Arabidopsis thaliana: one gene and its partners. The protein of the gene in region 1 purifies or fractionates together with the protein of each later gene. This does not show direct contact. Each region holds a gene or a part of one and is shown on either strand. Other genes may lie near its edges.

Region 1 (6,311 bases):
GCTTTGGGATTTTTCTCTTTTGTTTCAGTGTTTGTTCTTCGTTTCGTCTTCAGACCTTAAGGAAGGGCGATTTGTATTAGTAAGCAATAAGCGTCGGTCCGATTTAAAGCCCATCTTCTATTTTCACTCAATTTGGGTTTCTATCATAGTTGGGATTTATTTATTTTGTAAAATTTTCCACTAATAGTCTAAAATCTAAATACTATCTAATTTTTTAAATTATTATTATATGTCATATTACCATTAAATAGTTGCTTATATAAAAAAAGAGAAACCACAATAGATTTTTTTCCAAGAAAATATATTATTTTGAATATTTACAATTGGAAAATAAAGATATACAATATGATCCAATACAAGAAAAGAATATGAACATCATAATGATAACAATTAAATTAGCAATGGAAAAAAAAAAATTGGATATCCAAACATAAATAAAATTTAAAATGTGTAACCAATCCAATTATTAATGATAGTTATTTATTTATTAATGACACATCAACAAAAAATTGGATTATTATTTTGACTTACAGTATATAGTAAATAGAGAGATAGTATGTGTTCTTCAATTTTTTCACAAGACCATCAAGAGAATCTCCAGAAACATATTACTATCATTAGAAAAACTCAAAAAATAACATAAGTGTTTTTAACCCGAAAGAAGAAGAGAAGAAAAGAATGACTAAAAAACGATATGAATAAACAATTAACAATGTGTGGAATAAAGAGCAATGGAATGGGAACAACAGAACATTAGAAGTAATTACCTCAAATCATCTAACAAAGATTTGATTTTATTCATGAAGGTTGCAACGACGAAGATATGGGTGATCAAACTTGATGTACTTGGTCCAATACGGCCGATATTTGGACATTGCCAACTCCAACCATGGTTTCATGTTCCCGTTATAGTGAACCACTGCTGCATTCTCAATGTCCTTCTTGTCGATACTCGGGTTATATCCAAGTCCCAGCACATGCCACGCCTTGTTTAAGGGATGTGTTAATCCGTAGAATGTTATTAATCCTGGTGGCAATGTCCCTAGCTTCCATAGTGTCCTGTTCTCATTCTAAACAACACAAGCCAAAATGAGCAAACCACAATAAATAAAATAATAAACCATCATTAGACTATTTGTTGCAAAGAATTAAAGAGTTATTTACCATGTTTTGCCACTTGTGGTATATACCAGTGATGTCTCTCTTCTTCCATTCCTTTAGGTCGAACATGTTCATTCCATAAGCCCATCCACAAGCATTTGGATTGAAGTTCCTCGCAATGTGAGGATTCGAAAAGTTGAGATACTTGTCGAATCTGTGGAAACTTTCCCCACAGGTTTCGACTGCACCGTTGACTTTGCCGTTCAGGTTAACTTCCCAGAGTGGAGTCAAGTCTTTCTGAACAATGATGTCATCGTCCAGGAAGAGGATTTTGTTCAGCTTGGGATAAACCTCAGGGAGGTAGAATCTCAAGTGATTCAACATGGATAGATACTTTGGGTTTCTGTATTTTAGATTCGAAGAGCCTGAAGTTGGATGGTCTGCTTTAAAATAGTACTCTCTCATTGCTGCAGATTCAAGCTGACGAAGGACAGGACAGTAAGATGAATTGAGCCACTTAAACTCATCGACGTTTTCCACATGTATGGTTGCCTTTCCGGGTGGGTTTAGGAGGAACCACATGTTCATTGCTCCGAAATTGAGTTTATCCGTGACAAGGTGAAAAACATGCTTAGAAGGATCCTGCACATATAGGGAATAAAGACATTTTTAATTTCAGCTCTGCAATGCGTATCTAAAATTAAACATACAGATATTAGGACGAATCAAGTGATAAGAGCTAATGATTTTACCTTGGCATTCATGATGGTTGAGTTAACAACTACTGATGCAGCTAATACATTGTCGGAAAAGAGGGCATAATGATAAAGATTAGGGTTTTCTAGGTTTTCACTCCGAGGGAATTTTCTTTTCTCCGGAGACAGAAGATAGTAATCGATAGTCAAGCGCATTGATAGGCAATGGATAGGATTTGGAATGGTTTTTGCTGCTAACTGAGCCAGAAAAGTACTCTGCTTCTTTAAGCTCCTCACTTGTTCGTCGGCAGTCTGAAGCATTGCTCTCAGCTTTCCAGTAACCAGCTTGCAGTCATATAACTGCATCTTAGCTTTAGCCAAGACTTGACCCATGGCTCTGAGTTTCTCATGCGCACTATATGAAAAGTAATTTAGAGAGCATGTTACTTTAAGAAGTACACAAGCAGTCGAAAAAAGGCAAGTAGTAGAAACCAAAAGGAGTAATTTACCTCCGAGGAAGATCAGCATCAGATGTTGCTTCCCCCAAAACCCGTTGGCTGTCCTTAAGTCGGGCCTGGAGTTCTTGTAACAAATCGTTCTTGTTTTTCAATTTTGCAATCCCACTATAGACTCTAGCCATTATTACTTGATCCCGCATCAAGCGTATATTTGAATCAGAGTTGTCATTCTCATTTTCTCTTCTCCAAATACTGTATTTACCAAGGACTGCAGAATCAACAGACTTAGAGCGTTCAATGGCAGCATTTTCGAGTTTCAAAATCGTGTCATCATTGTGCTGAACTAACTCATTTGCCCGCATCTCACGCCTTTTCTCTCTTAGTTGCTGAAATGTCAAGATGGATAAAAAAAATGTTGATAATGAAATACTAAAGACACAAGAAGTCCCTAAAGAGTATTTGATGCATCATGACATTGAACTTTAATAAATAATAGTTACCCTTCTGTGAATCTTTGTAGGTGTCTCAACTTTCTGATGGATACTATCTGCATCAGCAATATATAGAAGAATCAGAGATGGAAAACGTCAAATCAGAGATGCCACTTAAATTAAAAGCCACTACCTTTTGAAATGCTGTCACGTTTTTCATTCAGGTTATTAGATTTGACATCAGGAGTTGCTGGATTCTGCCTCAAGTACAGCAAAAGATGAAAACTATGAGAAAACATCATTGAGAATAGAAGCTTAGAAAAGAAATGAGACACTTAAACCACACCTCAGAATGTCTAAAGGAGGGGTCTACTCCGGTTCCCCGCCATGATGCAGACAAATTGTTTTTCTTAAAAGAATCAAGGCTAAGAGGACCCAAATCAGCTGTGCTGGTTGCTATAACATCTAGTATCTGGACAACAAATTTAGTAAGAAACTATCCAGTCTCAGAAAAACTGACAAAGACAATAAATCGAAGCAAAGTTTCAAAGATTTAAACTACCTCTTTCGAGAAAAGAGATCTAACAGATTGCATTGCTAAACGTTCTCTCCAGTCAAGATTCTGCCAAAAAAAACAAAAAAAAACAGTCCAATCAAACAACATTCTTACTTCTGTCAAAACATACAAGTAGATAATTTGATAGAGTTTAAGCCGACATACCTGCTTCACAGAAACAATTGAATAATCTGCAGTAATGAAAGTAAGCTCCATCAGATGGACAATTCGCAGATAAATTATATATGTAACACAAAATCGAGAGACACTAATCCTTGAAACCAAAGCTCGATAGTAAAATAGCAAAGAACCAATTTTGCCAGTCTAGAAAAATAGCAATTGTCTGAATATCATCAGTGTCACATCAAGCTAAAAGTAACTTAAAATTGAGATAGTAAAGGCTGAAAACTAAAGAGTGGTAAAACTATGCTAATGTTCTCAATCATTAATAGAATTTCTGAATCTCTATACATGAATCTGCAAATTAGTATATAGAAAGATAAGCAATATATGCATACCATTTGAGGAATCGATATACACTCCTCGGCCAACAAAGAAGCAAAGAGGTGCAAAAACACAGAAAAATATGAGAAGCACAAGCACAGATCGAGATCCACCACCACTTCCTCTAATCCGGTTAACTCCAGATAGCCCTCGCTTTAGCGCCATCCCTATCAAATTCAAAAAAAAAACTAAATCAAGCAACGAAATCGTGGAAGCAACCCGAATATAATGAAGGAGAGAAACAAATCATACTCGGAATCTAATAAGAGATCAGGTGAGAGAGATTTGAGAAGAATCCAGCGTTTACGCAAAAGCTTCACAGGTAAACAGACTAAAACGCCATTGCTAATTTCCCGGCGAGATCTGACAAAACTCTAGCACAACGGCGACGAAGAGAAAACTCGGAATTGAAGCTAATGATTACGATGAAGAAGAAGAAGAGAGTATGAAGAGGATGATGATTGATTGATATGTGTAACAGAAAAACGTTGATTCACCGACAATTAACCAATCGCTATCAACGCCAGGATTTTTGTTTGCAGAGAAGAGAGAACCTCACGCGTACTTTTGACACAGATCTCTTTTATCGATTACAATTTACGAATCTCCTCCTATCCGGTTTACTTGGTTAAAATTAAAATCGATATTATACCAAACGAACATAAAATTGATTTGTTTTTTCTTCCTTTTTTGGGCTGATGATAAATAGAACGATGACACTGCTTGCTTTCAAGTTTCGACTTCGACCCATTAATAATTAACTGGGCTTTTGTATATATTATAAGCCCAAGCCTATATAGATAGATGCGTCACGTTGAATTTCGCCTTTCTAATTTAATAGTTTTTTTTTTCCAGTTTTCATGAAAATACATTAATTTTTAATTTGATATGACAATTCAATTTTCATCTAGCAGTATAGTATGGCATGATTTTATAATTTAATTTACAATTTTGCATGTATGTAATGACTACACAAATTAAAAATGATGATAGTAATTTGTTTGGTTTATTACTAAATGATTTACAATACAGTGTAACACTGTAACTAGACCTAGTAATGGTTTTTTTTTAGCTGATTTTATTTTTAGTAATAATGATCAAATACAACCTTGGTAAATGTTTGATTCAGTTGTCAAACCATATAAATAAGATATAACCAAAATTTGTTTTCTCTTGAAAGGCTTTTTCATAAAAACCTTACTTTTTTTTCTTTTGAAAAGGAATGCAACTTTTCAACAACAAATGATGAACCTTCCTGCGCCTTTTGACCAATTAAAACTTCCCGAACTAGTAATAAACTTCACACACGTAATATAGTTACACTCTGTTTTTTGTCATTAGGGTCGATGTCTTATATGTTTTTTACTGACTCCACATCGGTTCAGGTTGAACAACATTTAGTGGATGAACGTTTAATTGTTTACATGTACAAATTAACCTTGACGAAATCATAGCCATTGAACAAAAAAAAAACAGTTTTATATAAGTGTTAGTTTGAAGAATCACAATAGATGTAAACTTTATTAAGTAAAAAGGTTTGGTCCAACTGTTGCATATCAAAAAAGAATATCAATTTTTCTTGAGTGCCAGTTTGAACTTTGAACAATATGTCATCAAATACTGATATTAAAAGAAATAATGATGATTTTTCCAGTGGTCCAACTGTATTTCCATACTTCTAATTCTAGGTAGGAGAAAGTTTTCGTTTTGTTCCTATCAATTAATTTTTTATATACCAAAAGAATTTTCATTTGGGTCAAACAACAGTAAGATCATTACCATTTTACACTCTAGCTATAATTAATAAACGGAAAGTGAATTCTTCTTGCATGGTAATTGAAATGAGAACTTTGTAATTTATGATGAGATATTGTCCTATTGAGATAAAACTCGGTTCCACTATGTATGTAGGGTTGAAATAGGTTGATAAGAAAAAGAGAAACTATAGGGTTAATAAATACGCTTTTTTTTTTTACGTATATCCAGCAATAGAACTAAAGTAATTCATTTTGATTGATATGTACATGTAAACTTCCAACATTGAGAGATATTAAAGACAAGAAACAACGTAGAAAGAAGAGAGAGAGCGAGTGAGAGATGGGAAGAGGCAAAGTGGAAGTGAAGAGAATTGAGAACAAGATCACTAGACAAGTAACCTTCTCCAAAAGAAAAAGTGGTTTGCTCAAGAAAGCCTACGAACTCTCTGTTCTTTGTGATGCAGAGGTTTCTCTCATAATCTTCTCCACCGGTGGCAAGCTCTACGAGTTCAGCAATGTCGGGTACGTATATCCATTCATTCAAGATCATTAATTCGGTTTTCCTAATGATGAAAACCTAGGTTTTCATGGGTAATATGATTAAGATCATCCATGTTTGATTTGTGTCTGTTCTTAAGATCAAGAAACCAAATTCTGTCTTGTGGGTATCTGAAAAAGGTTATGTCTTTTTATTCTAACCCTAACTAGTTAAGGTTGATCACCATCCATCGATCTCTCAGGATCCATCGGACATATGGGTCAGTTTAGCTTTTAGATCCGGTAAATCTTTTGAAAGAAAACTTCTTTGT
Region 2 (6,059 bases), on another chromosome or scaffold:
TGATGGTTACGTAAAGGACAGATTCAACCACAGGTGTGTTTCAGTTTCGGATATTAGATATCACTTACGTGGTGATTTTGTCGGAGACCCAACCAGCCCATGAACCGGTCTTTTCCTTCGCCGTCGACTCTAACCATTTCCCCAATACACCCTCTTGCCACGTCAACACCACCACTACCACAAACAATACCAATGCCGTTCTTCTTCTCTCCATCATCTCTTTAACCAGTGATTCCGAATCAAACTTCTTTGAATTTGCTATGACCAATTTAGTTTTGTCCCTTTTTAAAAAGTTTTGATCCTAGTTCCAATGTCCTCGGAAGTTATAGTTATAGAGAGACGTTCGAATCCAAAGACCAGAGGTCTTTCCGAGAAGCGGTTACTGTTCGCCACGTGTTTGCACGAGGTTACGTGGCAACCAAGGATGCGGTTTGGTTGTGGAGCTTTCTCTGAGTATTCACCACGTGTCCTATTATACGGCTGGCCGTGTTCCCCTCAGAGACCACACTTTGAAACTTGAAAGCAATAAGATTAGAGAGGTCACATCACATGTGTCTGAAGCGGTTTGTATAACCGGGAAACCTACGATAAAAATTGGACCAAATTCCAGCTAACCGAAATTGAACCGGTTACTCAAACAATGTTACTATTTCAGTTTAATAGAATCGAAACAACGGAGTGATTCGGTGATACAAAAAGATCTACGGAAACGATTGGCCACCTTCAGTCGCAAGTCTGATTCTCTGGTGATGTTCTTCGATCTTATAATCCACAATTTCTTCAAAAAGTTGGGAATCCAAGACACAATCCTGTCGTCCATATACCGCAGCTTGAACACCGGCGACAAGCTTAGCGATTTCACGACCAGAAAAGCCTTCTGTCTTTTTTGCAGCTTCTTTAATCACTTGGTCGGTTAGGTCTCCTTCAATGGTTATCTTCTGTGACTTCTTCTTCTTGAACAAGTTGCTCCATTTAAGGTTTGAGTCTTTCTCACCTTTCTTGTCGTCACCCATTAGGTACTTGTTGAGATAGAGCTTGAGGAGCTTGAAGCGTTCTTCTTCACCAGGGAGAGGAAACTCGATAACTTCGTCGATCCTGTCAGTGACTGCACTGTCGAGATCTCCAGGTCTGTTTGTAGCCAGGACAAGGACTATGTCCCGCGATTGATCACCGGTTCGAAAGAGCAACGCGTTCAGAGCGCTGCGCTGAGCCTCACTCATGTAAGTGCTGTTACGTCTGTGATAAAAGATCAAGAATTTGATAACTATTAAGACAAGAGAACTCTGGAGATACAGTAGAAGTAACAATGCGCAAGAACAATCCACTGATCCTACTGCGACTATACTACATTGTGGAATTGTGTTTGCAATCAGAATACAAGAAATTTTTGTTCAACTATATTCTATATTTTAGAGGTCTAGTAGATGAGAATCAGTAATATAACTGAAGGCTTGAGGTAAAAGGTGAAAGCATCTTACTCGCATAGGAAAGCATCAGCTTCATCGATGAAAAGCAGTAACCCTTTGTTTGATTTCTTAGCCCAATCAAATATTTCATGGATCTTTGTAACAGCCTGTGCACCAAGAGGAGCAACATCTCCTCCTGTCATCATAGCATAATCAAGACCCTGCAGAACGAAATAATCAAACAGATGTAAATAAGTGAGGCATGTAATGGTTCAATCTATTGTAGATTCCTGAACTTGGCTCAGGTTCTCTGTTGCATAAAGAAAACAAACTCACCGACTTCCGAGCAATCTCCCTCGCCACCATAGTTTTTCCGGTACCTGGAGGCCCATAAAACATCATGTTTCGGAATGGTGCTTTATGTGACTTGGTATTTGCTGTGGCTCTTGCAAGACGCTCAATTCTCGTCTTCAAAGAACGATGGAGAATTACATTTTCAAGAGGCTTTTCTCCTTCTGCAGATGCTGCTGCCCCTGCAGCTGTGCTAAGTTTGTTCTTAAACTGAGACACTGAGCCTGCCCATGGGAATCGGCCCATGGAAGATTCTCTGATCAGTGATGGCTGCCCAAGAATTCTATTGATATAACCCCAGGTAACCCTAGCACCTTCTCTGTTGTCAAGAAAAGAACGATTAGGCTTCTTAAATCACAGCTGTATAAGTTTTAAAAATGCGATAATAATCAATTTACTTATGTTAGGCTTCTTAAATCATGTTAAGCAATGCATACCGAGTTGTGTAAACCCCAGCGGCTAATGCCGTAACTCCTCCAACAGTCATAATCAATTTACTTCGATCAGTTAATAAGGTCCTTACTCCTCCTGCCAAGATCATATAGGGAAGTGAATATGAAGCCACATTTCCAAAATATCAGAAGCATATAACTTCCTAGAGAAGAGAATCATAATTGGCCAGGTGATTGTCTTCTCAAATATTCCTCAGAAGGTTGCTTAATTTCAGAAAAATCCAAGGAGAACCACAGATATAAAAGAAACTAGAAACTGAGGGAATCTAAGTATAACAAGATGTGTATATCTAAGGGACAATGCTTATAAGTTCCATACCTTCAATGTGACTGAAAGTCGTGTTGATTGCTGCAAGCCATTTCTCCCTTTCACCATTTATCTTATCTAGAAGCATTCTTCTATTCTGCTCCTCAGTGAGTTTAGCTTCATGAGCTCGGCCTTCAGCCTCAGCCATAGCTTTCACGCGAATTGTTTCTCGCTCAAGTTCCGCTCTCTCTTTCTCAGTCTCGCGCTGCTGTGCTTGAATCTGTTCTTCCGTGGCAATTCTTGCTTTCTCTTTCCGTATAGAAGATGCTTCTTGCATCGAAACCAATTCAGCATTATGCCGTCTCTGAGCTTCATTATCTGTCTGCAAAATTTCCAAGTCAAAGACTTCTTCTCAGTAAAGAACCCTCACAAGACCTTAAAATGTTACACATAGGTTCACAGTTTCTTTCTAAAAATGTACCTGCATTCTCTTCCTGGCCAACTCATCCTCATATCTAAGATTTTGCGCTTTCGCTTGGGCCTGTTGCTGCACTAAATTTCTCTGATCCTCTGCCAATTTCCGCTGTCTTTCCTGCTCATTCAAAGCCCCATAAAACAATCATATTTGTCGCTTCCCAGACTTAAAATGTTACAACATAATAAATTTCAGATTCTGCAACGAATGTTCAGCAAAACTTTGAAGCAGGAAACAACAAAGACACCGAAAAGACAGTTGATTCCAACATCCTAATAAGATTTAGAGAATGTAACTTGAAAGACAATGCAATGGAACATCATATCAAAACCTCCATGCTCAAATTTTCAATATATAACATAAGGAAGAGCAAGTTACTAACAATGTCCTTGCTAGCTTGAATAGCTTCATTATGTTCTTTCTCAGCCGCTAATTCAGCTAATCGAGTCTTCTCCTGCTTTCGCATTAGATCAAACACCTGGTGAACACAATAACATGTAAGCAACGTCTCAAAACACAAGAATCAACGACTCTAGAGCTTGTTGATTTCTCGAAAGAGATTCAATTATCACCTGTTTGGAATGAGGAGAGCTATTGATTTCACGAAGAGCTTTAGCACCTCTTTCCAATGACTCAGGATCGAAACCAGATCCTTTAGGCTCATCGGAGTCAGGTTTAGTCTCCGATTTAGAATTCGAAGAAGACTTATGATCGGTTGGAGATTCTTCTGCCGGAGGTGAAGAAGAGAAGAAAGGAAAGCGAAATCGCGAGTCAGCGTAAGCGCGGTTCTGTGACATCGACATTGAAGTGAACGCAGCAGCTATCGCCGCCGCGGAACATAATCTAGAAGCAGCCATTGAAATACGACTAAAAAGCAGCCTCCTAAACCCCAAGCAAGAAACAAAAGTCCTTTTACAATTCAAACATTTCGGAATGAGAAAATGGTACTCTCAAGGTTAATAGAAATGATTGTGCACAGTCGTCGGAAATGTCTCTCCGGTAGGCCCGAGCATAAACCCACGGTGGCTAGGTTATGAGTTATGACTGACTTGTGAGCTATGTATGACACATCGGTTGTTTGGAGACTACTCGAATCCAGATATGGGCCAAAAATTAAATATAGGCCCATATTTTAGCCCATTTGTAAGGCCATTTTTCACATTTGATCCTTTGACAGGAGAATTGAATCTTTGATCGTTTTTTTTTCCCCTATACAAATTGTGTTTAATAATATCGTTTATATTAGTTTTACGTTTAAGCATATTTTCGTTTTTTTGTCCATAAATTTATTTCTATATAGAGAAATATATAAATATTTGAGCTTGTAGTGTATTAGTTAATTTTCAACAACTGAAATATTTTAAAAATAAATGTGTATATTAAGAAACAAAAGAGTGTAAAAGTTCCCGCCCAAAATTTGCTTACATAACGTGTAGTTCACGGTAACCCGAAGGATATTAGCAGTCATAATTACTCCGTTACCGAACTTCGAAACATTCATCTTCTCCTCTTTCATTGAACATCAATAATTTTGTTTCGTGAATCCTTCGATTTCAGTGTGAAGATTATGTTTATTGATCTCATGCTACGCATTGATGTTGGTTTATAGTGCAAAAATAAGTCTTGCTTTTCTCTATCAACTTCGATTTATAATTTATCATAAATAAATAATAATGACTTCGACTTATACGAAGTTTGATCGATCAAATCTCGATGATTTCTGATTTTTCGTATGCTTAATCCATAAAACTGATAGAATGTTCCGAGACTGTTACTATATGAACTTAAATTGATTGGATTAGAATAGGATGGATATTGAGAGAGATTATTATATATCTGAAAACCAAACAGAAATTAAAAAAAAAAACAAAAAAAGAAAGCAAATAGAATATAAGAAATACATCGAAATTCTTAGTTCTTTATAGATTCTCTCAAATGTCCTCTTCTTGATAGAAAGGCATTTTATTAATGGCTTCAATTAGTGTTACGGTACCTAGGTTGTGGATAGCGTCCTGACTCAATGTCATTCACATCCCTAAGGAGCAATTCATAGTGTCGCTTTACTTCTTCAGTTGATTTCCCACCAACTGCCCTTGCAATTTTTTGCCAACGGTCAGGAGTGTCCTTGTCGAATTTCGCCAACGCCATTTCGAATTGCTTGTCCTCTCTAGCTGTCCATGATGAGGTGCTCATTGAACTAGAAGCCATTAGCTAGTGAAAATGTGGATGAAAAGAGAGGAATTGAGAAGGTTGGTTTGTATTGTTGACGGATAGAGATGACTTGAATTGGTTTAGTTTGAGGGAGTGTGGAGCTCCTTATATGTAGGAGGAGAAAAGCAATGTGTGGGGTTATAAGCCAGTTGGAAGAATATATACTTTGAAATGAGAGATTTTTAGAATGACCATTCTTTTAGCTACCACATAAAATTTTAGTGAAGGGACAAAAGTTTTGATAGAAGCTTTGATATGATAATGATCATTAGAGTCTAGTCCCTTAAAGGACATAATAAAGGTTTAATAGTTTTAGTGGAATGAGATTCTCTTGACCATTGCTATAAGGAAATTAGGAGGCTTCCTTTTTCTTGCTAGTGTCCGTAAAGTTTACCAATAACTATTGGACCCTCCCTTACCTCTTTCAGCATTTTGGATCTTATCATCATCATTAGTGTCGAATTAACCCCCTATCGTATCCGATACTATTCATAAAGCATGTGATTGTTAAGCTTGTGTTTAATATTTTTTGCAATTTTTTTTTCTTGTATGATTGAAAATAATATAATCTCTATAGAGTTCCTCTTTGCATTGTTGGATTAGCTTAGTTAACTTTTATATTGTTTCCATTGTGGGATTGTGATTTTGCCATTCTTGGCTCCAAAGATCGTTAAGCAATTTACATGCTTAGAGGTCGCCGGTTCGAGTGACGTTTGAGATGAAACTAATATTACATGATGTGATTTCGGGCTTTGGAGAATTACGGGTTTCGGCTTAAAACCTCATGGTATTCAATAAATAAAAAAAGAGCAACTTCAGGTAATCTTATATTTACTGAAATTTATTGAGTATCTGTTGTAGTGTTGTAGTTGTAGGTGAATTGTTAAGCTTGTGTGTAATATTTCTTGCAATTTTTC
Region 3 (7,696 bases), on another chromosome or scaffold:
CCTTCCTCTTTCCCTCCTCTCGCCATTGTTCGAGAAACTCAAAACTTGTCTACCCAAACAACAACACAGTGATGATCTCTGTTCCCCAAAAATAAAGTTTCAGGGAAACATTCTTATGATTCAAAGAGAATCTGATTGTTTCAAGCACAAATCCATTGCATTCAATCTCCTCGAGAAATTTCCTAAATTTGTAACATATAATTAAATCCAAGGATCAAACGAAATCGAAAAAGGTAAGTGGATAAATGGAAATTGGATCTGTGGAAATCTTCGAGGAAAGTGAGAAACGATGACTGAAACAGATCAGAAACTGAATTTCATGCAGAGAGGAAGAAGAAGAAGAAGAAACATAAACAAATCTGGTCTTTTGTTTCTTCCAGTTGAAATCTATGTGTGTGTGTGGTTGATTTTGATCTTATATATATAAAAGAACAAAATTAATTGGAATGTTATGCTTAATTTAATTAGATTAATTGAGTTTAAAACTCCACGTCGAAAAGCATAACGAGTTCAAAGTCCGCAGATCTTGCCAGATGGGAATAATCTATTGGTTTTAAGTTATTGGGCCGGAGGGCCCACGTTTAATTGTGACGTGGTTTAGTGCTCGTCAACTCTTTGGTCCGACATTTCACTTTTTTTTTTATAGAAATAATTCTAGATATCCAGTAGTCAAACTTATTGATTATCTAATTTCTATATCCTTACTATTTTTAAAAAAATTACTTTTAACATTTCTAGAATTTTTCGATTTTTTCTGTACTTATTAACTATTAGTAAAATTTATTGATGCTTCTTTTGGTTATGTTATAGTATTGAGACAATGTATTGTATTCTAATTTTGATTTTTTTTTTCCTTTTTAATGATTTGTAGATTTTGTTTTTTCATTATTATATTTGAAAAAATATCTTCTTATATCTTAATCACCAGAAAATCTAAAACCGATGGCTATACTAATTTCCGGAATATATGAAATGTTTATTTTTCTATTAAGGATCCAAAGCAGCTAATTAAGATTAAAAACTTGGGAAGAACTAGTATCCCAAACAAACAATATGATATCCAGATGTCCAAAAGGAAAAAGAAATGGTATCAAAAGAACCAAGAAATGTGCCTAGAAATTTCATATAGTTAGCTTGGAAATTTCTGATTTTTATGTCCAATGTTTATTTATTTTTTCCTTATAATTATACTTGTCATACATCACAAAGAATTGTCAACATTGCCAAACTAGTCCTAAGATGTTGGAAGGTATGATGATAGACAACAGTTCTAAAGAAGGGAAGATGAGATTCAGGCAACAAAAAACACATATAGTTCAAAAAAATTAGGTTGGTAGGATCAATTATTCAAAAAACATACACCAAATAGATTTTAGTAGGGGTTGTTTGTCCAAAAAAAAACTATAATAGTTTACGAAAATAGTTACACCTTGTGAATAGATTTTTTGTTTGCCTTCCCTTGAGGTAAATTATGTCGCGAGAACTATATGAACAACAACGAGATCCACAACAACATTTGATTACATTTTTATTTGAACCTTCACATTGATTTAGTAATGTGGGATTCCAACATCATCTAATGTTATATGAATGGATCTAATAGATGATAAATTGTTAAATGAACTGATAATTTTTTTTTATTTTTTTATGTGTATTTCACATCACATTGTTTTTTTTTTTTTTTTTTTAAGTAAGAAAAAGAAGAAGCACTTGAGACCGATCAGAAAAAAATTAGAAAGATATGATTTTTGTAAGTCTTTTGAAATTTGAATCTTGTCCCGTGTAATTGTGAAATCTTACGTACGTCCTCTTTATGACCTCGTCTTCGCTCATTTCTGCCTTCCCTTACGAAATCCCCAACGAAAAATCTTAGCTTAACACCATCGCGACCGGATTCCAAATTCCGGCCCATCGTCTCACCGGGAAAGACCCCGCCTATTGCCGCCGATTTCGGTTCCGGTCTGCTCAGATCTAATCGAGTGGCTTCCTTCTTCCTCCAGATCTCTTCACTTTGAATCGGTTACTCGATCTCGATTCGCGGAGGGCTTTTGCTAGTCGCGATGGAGGCGATCGATGAGTTGTCTCAGCTCTCAGATTCGATGAAGCAGGCGGCGTCTCTCCTCGCCGACGAAGATCCCGACGAAACCTCTTCTTCCAAGCGCCCTGCCACTTTCCTCAACGTCGTTGCCTTGGGAAATGTGGTGAGTTCCTCGCTCTCACTCCACGCTCCTCGATTTTCCTCTCTTTAGGCTCGTGCTGGTTTTATTCTGTGTTCGAGTGTATGTTGGATTGCCATATCGTGGATCTTCTGGATCTAGATTAGGTTTTTATCGAATTTTGCTAGGACACACTCATCGTTTATAGCTAGTTTTGTTGGGATTCTCTTTATTAGTGGATATATGGTTACATGAGGAGCGACTCGTGCCGGAGAAGGCTGATGTATTTTGTTATTTGTTACTTATCTCTTTTTGCATACTGAACCAGGGAGCTGGAAAGTCTGCAGTTCTAAACAGTCTAATTGGGCATCCAGTGCTGGTAAGTTGTACATTGAGTCTATGGTTATTATTGGCTTACTCCTTTTCTTATACTAATACTGACCTCTGTTGTGTCTGCTACACTTACTATACACAGCCGACGGGTGAGAATGGTGCTACACGAGCTCCTATAATAATTGAATTGAGCAGGGAGAGTTCTTTGAGCAGCAAGGCAATTATCTTGCAAATCGACAATAAATCTCAACAAGTTTCTGCAAGTAAGTCTCTATCTATGAACATATGCAATTTAGCAATGCTATGTGAGGCTCTTTCTGCATTTATGATAAAAAAATTTCGATCAGTCTTCTCATAATATCTCCATTGTGTTCTACATGGGTATATTTTAGGTGCTTTGAGACATTCTCTGCAAGATAGACTTAGCAAAGGAGCCTCAGGGAAGAATCGTGATGAAATAAACTTAAAACTTCGTACCAGCACAGGTAAGCCCCTTTTTACTTGCACAATCATAAGTGGCAAGCCTATATCTACTCTTCAAATAGCACATCCTTAGCTAACCTAAGTTGGGTGTATGAATTTATCTTTGATACCCGTGAACTGGTCAGCTGTAATATCTTGCTATCCTTATATACTATCTAGTACACTAGTTTAGAGCTTCTAGCTTTACTTTGGTGGGTATCAGATTAAATATCTAACGGAGCTTTAACATAAACAGTACACACTCTTTTGAACATGAGTTATGACATATGACATATGACCGACAGTTTCGTAGTATTAAATTTTCTTTGACCATCATAACCTGTTACGTTTACCCTTTACATTGCAGCTCCACCATTGAAATTAGTTGATCTGCCTGGACTGGACCAGAGAATTGTGGACGAGTCAATGGTGAGGCTTGGAACTACTTAATGCCATTGTCATATCCTTAACTTGCCTGACAACCACGAAACAAAAGATTTTGACTATTTTTATCGGTTTCCTACTGAAGTGATAATATAGATTCATTATCATGTTTATCCTTTTGAAATTGTTGTTTGTTTCTTGGGTCTCTTTGCAAGATTGCTGAATACGCGCAACACAATGATGCCATACTGCTGGTTATAGTGCCTGCTAGCCAGGCATCTGAAATTTCATCATCCCGAGCCCTGAAGATTGCAAAGGAGTATGATCCAGAGAGTGAGTACATCTGTATTTCCGATCTGTCTTATCTTAATATTGTTTATTATTTGTATACCTGATAAGAACTGTTGATTTACCTACCTATTATCACTTCAGTTTGCTTAAAATACTCATTAGCTAACATCACTCCTCCCTACTTATAGGTACTAGGACAATAGGCATTATTGGAAAAATTGACCAGGCAGCAGAGAACTCGAAAGCCCTTGCAGCTGTTCAGGCTCTTCTTTCAAATCAAGGACCTCCAAAAACAACTGACATTCCATGGGTTGCTGTTATTGGCCAATCCGTTTCAATTGCGTCAGCACAGTCTGGAAGTGGTGAGAACTCCTTAGAAACTGCTTGGCGTGCTGAGAGTGAAAGTCTTAAGTCCATTTTGACTGGGGCTCCACAAAGCAAGCTTGGCAGAATTGCGTTGGTGGATACCCTTGCTAGCCAGATTCGTAGCAGAATGAAGCTCAGGCTTCCAAGTGTCCTGTCTGGGTATTGCTTCTCTCCATATATGTGCTTTCTTCATGATTTTTATTATGGTGTTGGCATATGACATTGGTTGCTTGAACGCATATGGCTTTCAAATTCTTTGTACAGGCTCCAGGGTAAGTCTCAAATAGTGCAGGATGAGCTAGCGAGGCTTGGTGAACAACTAGTTAACAGTGCTGAAGGTACAAGGGCTATAGCTTTGGAGCTTTGCCGTGAGTTTGAAGACAAGTTTCTTCTGCACTTGGCTGGTGGTGAAGTAAGTACATTCTTACAAAAGTTAACTAGATTTAGTCGAAAATTCAAGAATATAGTGAGAGAGAAGAACTCTTCAAATATTAGCAATCAGCCATTTCAGATTTGGTACTAGTGTAGTGGAAAGTCTCTTGCTAGCCTACGCTTGGTAAGAGCACATTATATTGTTGGGAATCTCATGAATCTGATAGTGGATGTTTATAATATGTGTATAAGCCAACTGAGTGTTTGATATAGAGTTTTTGTACTTGTCTGTGTTCAGTTTATGGGCTGAAGTCCCTTTTGGAGCTTGGCAAATGTTTTTCTCAAAACTTTTTGATTCTTGTTCAGGGAAGTGGTTGGAAAGTTGTTGCAAGTTTTGAAGGAAATTTCCCCAACCGTATCAAGCAGCTTCCATTGGATAGACATTTTGACCTGAACAATGTTAAAAGGGTGGGTGTCTTCTTCTGTCCTAAGTTTCTGCACGAGACAAGTTTTGAGACTTGATTTGTCAAAATATCTTTGATTTTCAGGTTGTTTTGGAGGCAGATGGTTATCAACCTTATCTTATATCTCCAGAGAAAGGGTTGAGATCGTTGATAAAGATTGTCCTTGAGTTGGCTAAAGACCCGGCACGCCTTTGTGTTGATGAGGTGTGCTTGTTTACATGTTTTTTTAGGTACATGCAGTAGGATTGAATTTTAGAAATTTACTGCATTGTGAACTGGCTATGGCTTGTCTCACTTTAATTCTTCGAACTGTTATTTAGAGTTCTGTCAAGTTTTCTGGTTTATAAGCCTTAGTAAGTTAATATCCCTTACCGTAGATGTAGCTATTTTTTGGTTCCTACTTTAAAACTCATGCATCCAGCTTCTGTCTTATTTACGTGTTGAGCTAACATGGTCTTAACTTTTGATTAGGTTCACCGAGTTCTTGTTGACATAGTTTCAGCTTCTGCAAATGCTACACCTGGACTTGGGAGATATCCTCCTTTCAAGCGAGAGGTAATAATGATTTTTTGGTGCTTTATTCAGTAATATTTTATCATTTCGGTAACAGTTATTCCTTTCTGACTAATCATCAACCAGGTTGTAGCTATAGCAAGTGCAGCACTTGATGGTTTCAAGAATGAAGCCAAGAAAATGGTGGTTGCACTAGTTGATATGGAACGCGCTTTTGTACCACCTCAACATTTTATCCGTCTTGTGCAAAGGAGGTATTTTGGCTTGTCTTTCTTTGCAATTTTTGTTTTTATTTTCAATGGTTCATGACTGAAAATTATTTCTCTTTCTGACGATGCACTGTATTGACTCCATCAGAATGGAAAGACAACGTCGCGAGGAAGAGCTGAAAGGGCGATCTTCTAAGAAGGGACAAGATGCAGAGCAGTCCCTTTTAAGCAGGGTGTGTGTTCATTCTGTATCAATTTGGATATACGTAGTGAAAAATGTTTTTTTTTTTTTTTTATCGTTTTACATGAAAATATATAATGTGGAAATTCTCTACATATATGTTTATCAGGCTACTAGTCCTCAGCCAGATGGGCCAACAGCTGGTGGTAGCTTAAAATCAATGAAAGACAAACCTAGTCCGCAAGATAAAGAGACGCCGGAGGTCTCTGGTCTGAAAACTGCTGGACCTGAGGGGGAGATAACAGCAGGTTGTTATTCTAATATACATCTACCCAGTTACTGTCTAAAAAGTTTCATTCTGCTTTTTCACTCCCGATTTGCTTTCCTTACGTTGCATGATTTTATTGCTGCAAAGCTTTGCTCTTAGTCCAAGTGCATGATTTCTTCATGTCTTTTTCTTCTTTATCACTTAAAACTAACTTGACAAAACTAACTTCCAAGGTAGATAACAAATACTTACTCTTTTCATTTAGGGTACTTAATGAAGAAAAGTGCAAAAACAAATGGGTGGAGTAGGCGATGGTTTGTTCTGAATGAGAAAACTGGAAAGGTCAGCATTTTGAAACGTATATTCTTCAGTTGTTGAGAACTTACTGACTTTACTGTTTACCTTTTTCTAGCTTGGCTATACCAAAAAGCAAGAAGAAAGAAACTTTCGGGGCACGATAACTTTGGAGGTACCATTCTCTTCCTATGCTTTATTTTCTGCCAAAGGTGAACTATAATTAGATATGACATGGAAAAAAGAATTAGAGAAGAATATAGTTCGTATTCACCTTGTTATTTTCTCCCACACTGTTTCCTTCTTGGAGAGTGACAATTACTTGTGTATTTTGAAGCTTATGCTTCAAATATTTAATAGTTCTGTTATTATCGATGAGAAATTTGGATACTCTATAGATAACATTTTTTCCATGTTTTTCTAATTATACTTCCTCCAACTTTATTAATCCACTCAGGAATGCACTATTGAAGAAATCCCCGAGGACGAAGTAGAAAAGTCAAAGAGCTCGAAGGACAAGAAGGCAAATGGACCTGATTCAAAAGGACCAGGCCTTGTGTTTAAAATAACCTGCAAGGTTCCCTATAAGACTGTACTCAAAGGTACATAAATCAATCATTATAAGAATTCAAACTTCTTAATCTTCTATTCGCACTTTTATGAGTTTTCCTCAAACTATTATGTTGCAGCTCACAATGCCCTTGTGCTTAAGGCTGAGAGTGTAGTCGACAAGAACGAGTGGATTAATAAGTTGCAAAAGGTTATCCAGGCTCGTGGAGGCCAAGTGGGCAGTGTTTCCATGAGGCAGAGTCTTTCAGAAGGTTCACTTGTGAGTCACTCATGGGCAGCTTTTCTTACATTTCCTCTTCCTTAAATCTATGTTAGATACGTTCACTAGTCTTATGGATTACTTATTATCACTATGAAGAAAGTTTGAAACTTCACTTCGGAAGGTTTGAAACTGTTGGAAGAGCAAACAAAGCTATTTATGTTTTATTGAACATTGTCGAATTTTTATTATTGAAACATTTTTCCTATAGAAGGCTCAGTTTATGGGGTATGCATGATACTACTTTTAAACTTGACATAAGTTATGTTTGACATTTAAGGTTTTTATTGTTTATAATATTTTCTGAGACTTACGTTTTTTTCCTTGTCTGTATTTCAGGATAAGATGGTTAGGAAACCCATCGATCCAGAAGAGGAGCTCCGGTGGATGTCCCAAGAAGTACGGGGTTACGTTGAAGCTGTTCTTAACAGCCTTGCAGCCAATGTTCCAAAGGTGAACTATCCTTATGCAAAAGCTCGAAAGCTCTAAATTTTCTTGTCCATCTCTTTTCTCTTACAGAGATTCCTCGGTCATGCTACTAAGCGATGTGAATTGACCATGAACAGGCTGTTGT

The links.
Region 2: the proteins of GAUT1 (region 1) and AT2G18330 purify together in Arabidopsis thaliana (affinity purification with mass spectrometry, with the first as the bait; one study listed by BioGRID). This does not show direct contact.
Region 3: the proteins of GAUT1 (region 1) and ADL6 purify together in Arabidopsis thaliana (affinity purification with mass spectrometry, with the first as the bait; one study listed by BioGRID). This does not show direct contact.

Annotation. Positions count from the first base shown.
Region 1 is NC_003074.8:22,619,998-22,626,308, reverse strand, and holds GAUT1 (galacturonosyltransferase 1), read right to left. Parts: upstream 4,398-6,311; 5' UTR 3,998-4,397; intron 3,913-3,997; 5' UTR 3,911-3,912; coding exon 3,760-3,910; intron 3,433-3,759; coding exon 3,407-3,432; intron 3,308-3,406; coding exon 3,248-3,307; intron 3,158-3,247; coding exon 3,032-3,157; intron 2,943-3,031; coding exon 2,879-2,942; intron 2,802-2,878; coding exon 2,755-2,801; intron 2,641-2,754; coding exon 2,306-2,640; intron 2,212-2,305; coding exon 1,854-2,211; intron 1,744-1,853; coding exon 1,165-1,743; intron 1,071-1,164; coding exon 795-1,070; 3' UTR 501-794; downstream 1-500. Other genes in the region: AGL13 (AGAMOUS-like 13), read left to right, coding at 5,843-6,024. UniProt on the Arabidopsis thaliana protein: Involved in pectin biosynthesis. Catalyzes the transfer of galacturonic acid from uridine 5'-diphosphogalacturonic acid onto the pectic polysaccharide homogalacturonan.
Region 2 is NC_003071.7:7,963,558-7,969,616, reverse strand, and holds AT2G18330 (AAA-type ATPase family protein), read right to left. Parts: upstream 3,983-6,059; 5' UTR 3,789-3,982; coding exon 3,504-3,788; intron 3,410-3,503; coding exon 3,314-3,409; intron 3,049-3,313; coding exon 2,938-3,048; intron 2,839-2,937; coding exon 2,529-2,838; intron 2,286-2,528; coding exon 2,195-2,285; intron 2,077-2,194; coding exon 1,743-2,076; intron 1,628-1,742; coding exon 1,479-1,627; intron 1,237-1,478; coding exon 702-1,236; 3' UTR 509-701; downstream 1-508. Other genes in the region: AT2G18340 (late embryogenesis abundant domain-containing protein / LEA domain-containing protein), read right to left, coding at 69-217; RL4 (RAD-like 4), read right to left, coding at 4,906-5,139.
Region 3 is NC_003070.9:3,368,714-3,376,409, forward strand, and holds the start of ADL6 (dynamin-like protein 6), read left to right. Parts: upstream 1-1,688; 5' UTR 1,689-2,060; coding exon 2,061-2,201; intron 2,202-2,484; coding exon 2,485-2,535; intron 2,536-2,631; coding exon 2,632-2,752; intron 2,753-2,881; coding exon 2,882-2,974; intron 2,975-3,318; coding exon 3,319-3,380; intron 3,381-3,550; coding exon 3,551-3,668; intron 3,669-3,814; coding exon 3,815-4,151; intron 4,152-4,256; coding exon 4,257-4,404; intron 4,405-4,730; coding exon 4,731-4,832; intron 4,833-4,912; coding exon 4,913-5,032; intron 5,033-5,299; coding exon 5,300-5,383; intron 5,384-5,467; coding exon 5,468-5,595; intron 5,596-5,698; coding exon 5,699-5,783; intron 5,784-5,900; coding exon 5,901-6,039; intron 6,040-6,264; coding exon 6,265-6,341; intron 6,342-6,411; coding exon 6,412-6,468; intron 6,469-6,750; coding exon 6,751-6,895; intron 6,896-6,982; coding exon 6,983-7,122; intron 7,123-7,461; coding exon 7,462-7,575; intron 7,576-7,688; and 1 more. Other genes in the region: AT1G10280 (Core-2/I-branching beta-1,6-N-acetylglucosaminyltransferase family protein), read right to left, coding at 1-26. UniProt on the Arabidopsis thaliana protein: Microtubule-associated force-producing protein involved in clathrin-mediated vesicle trafficking from the trans-Golgi network to the central vacuole. Able to bind and hydrolyze GTP. Binds specifically to phosphatidylinositol 3-phosphate (PtdIns3P).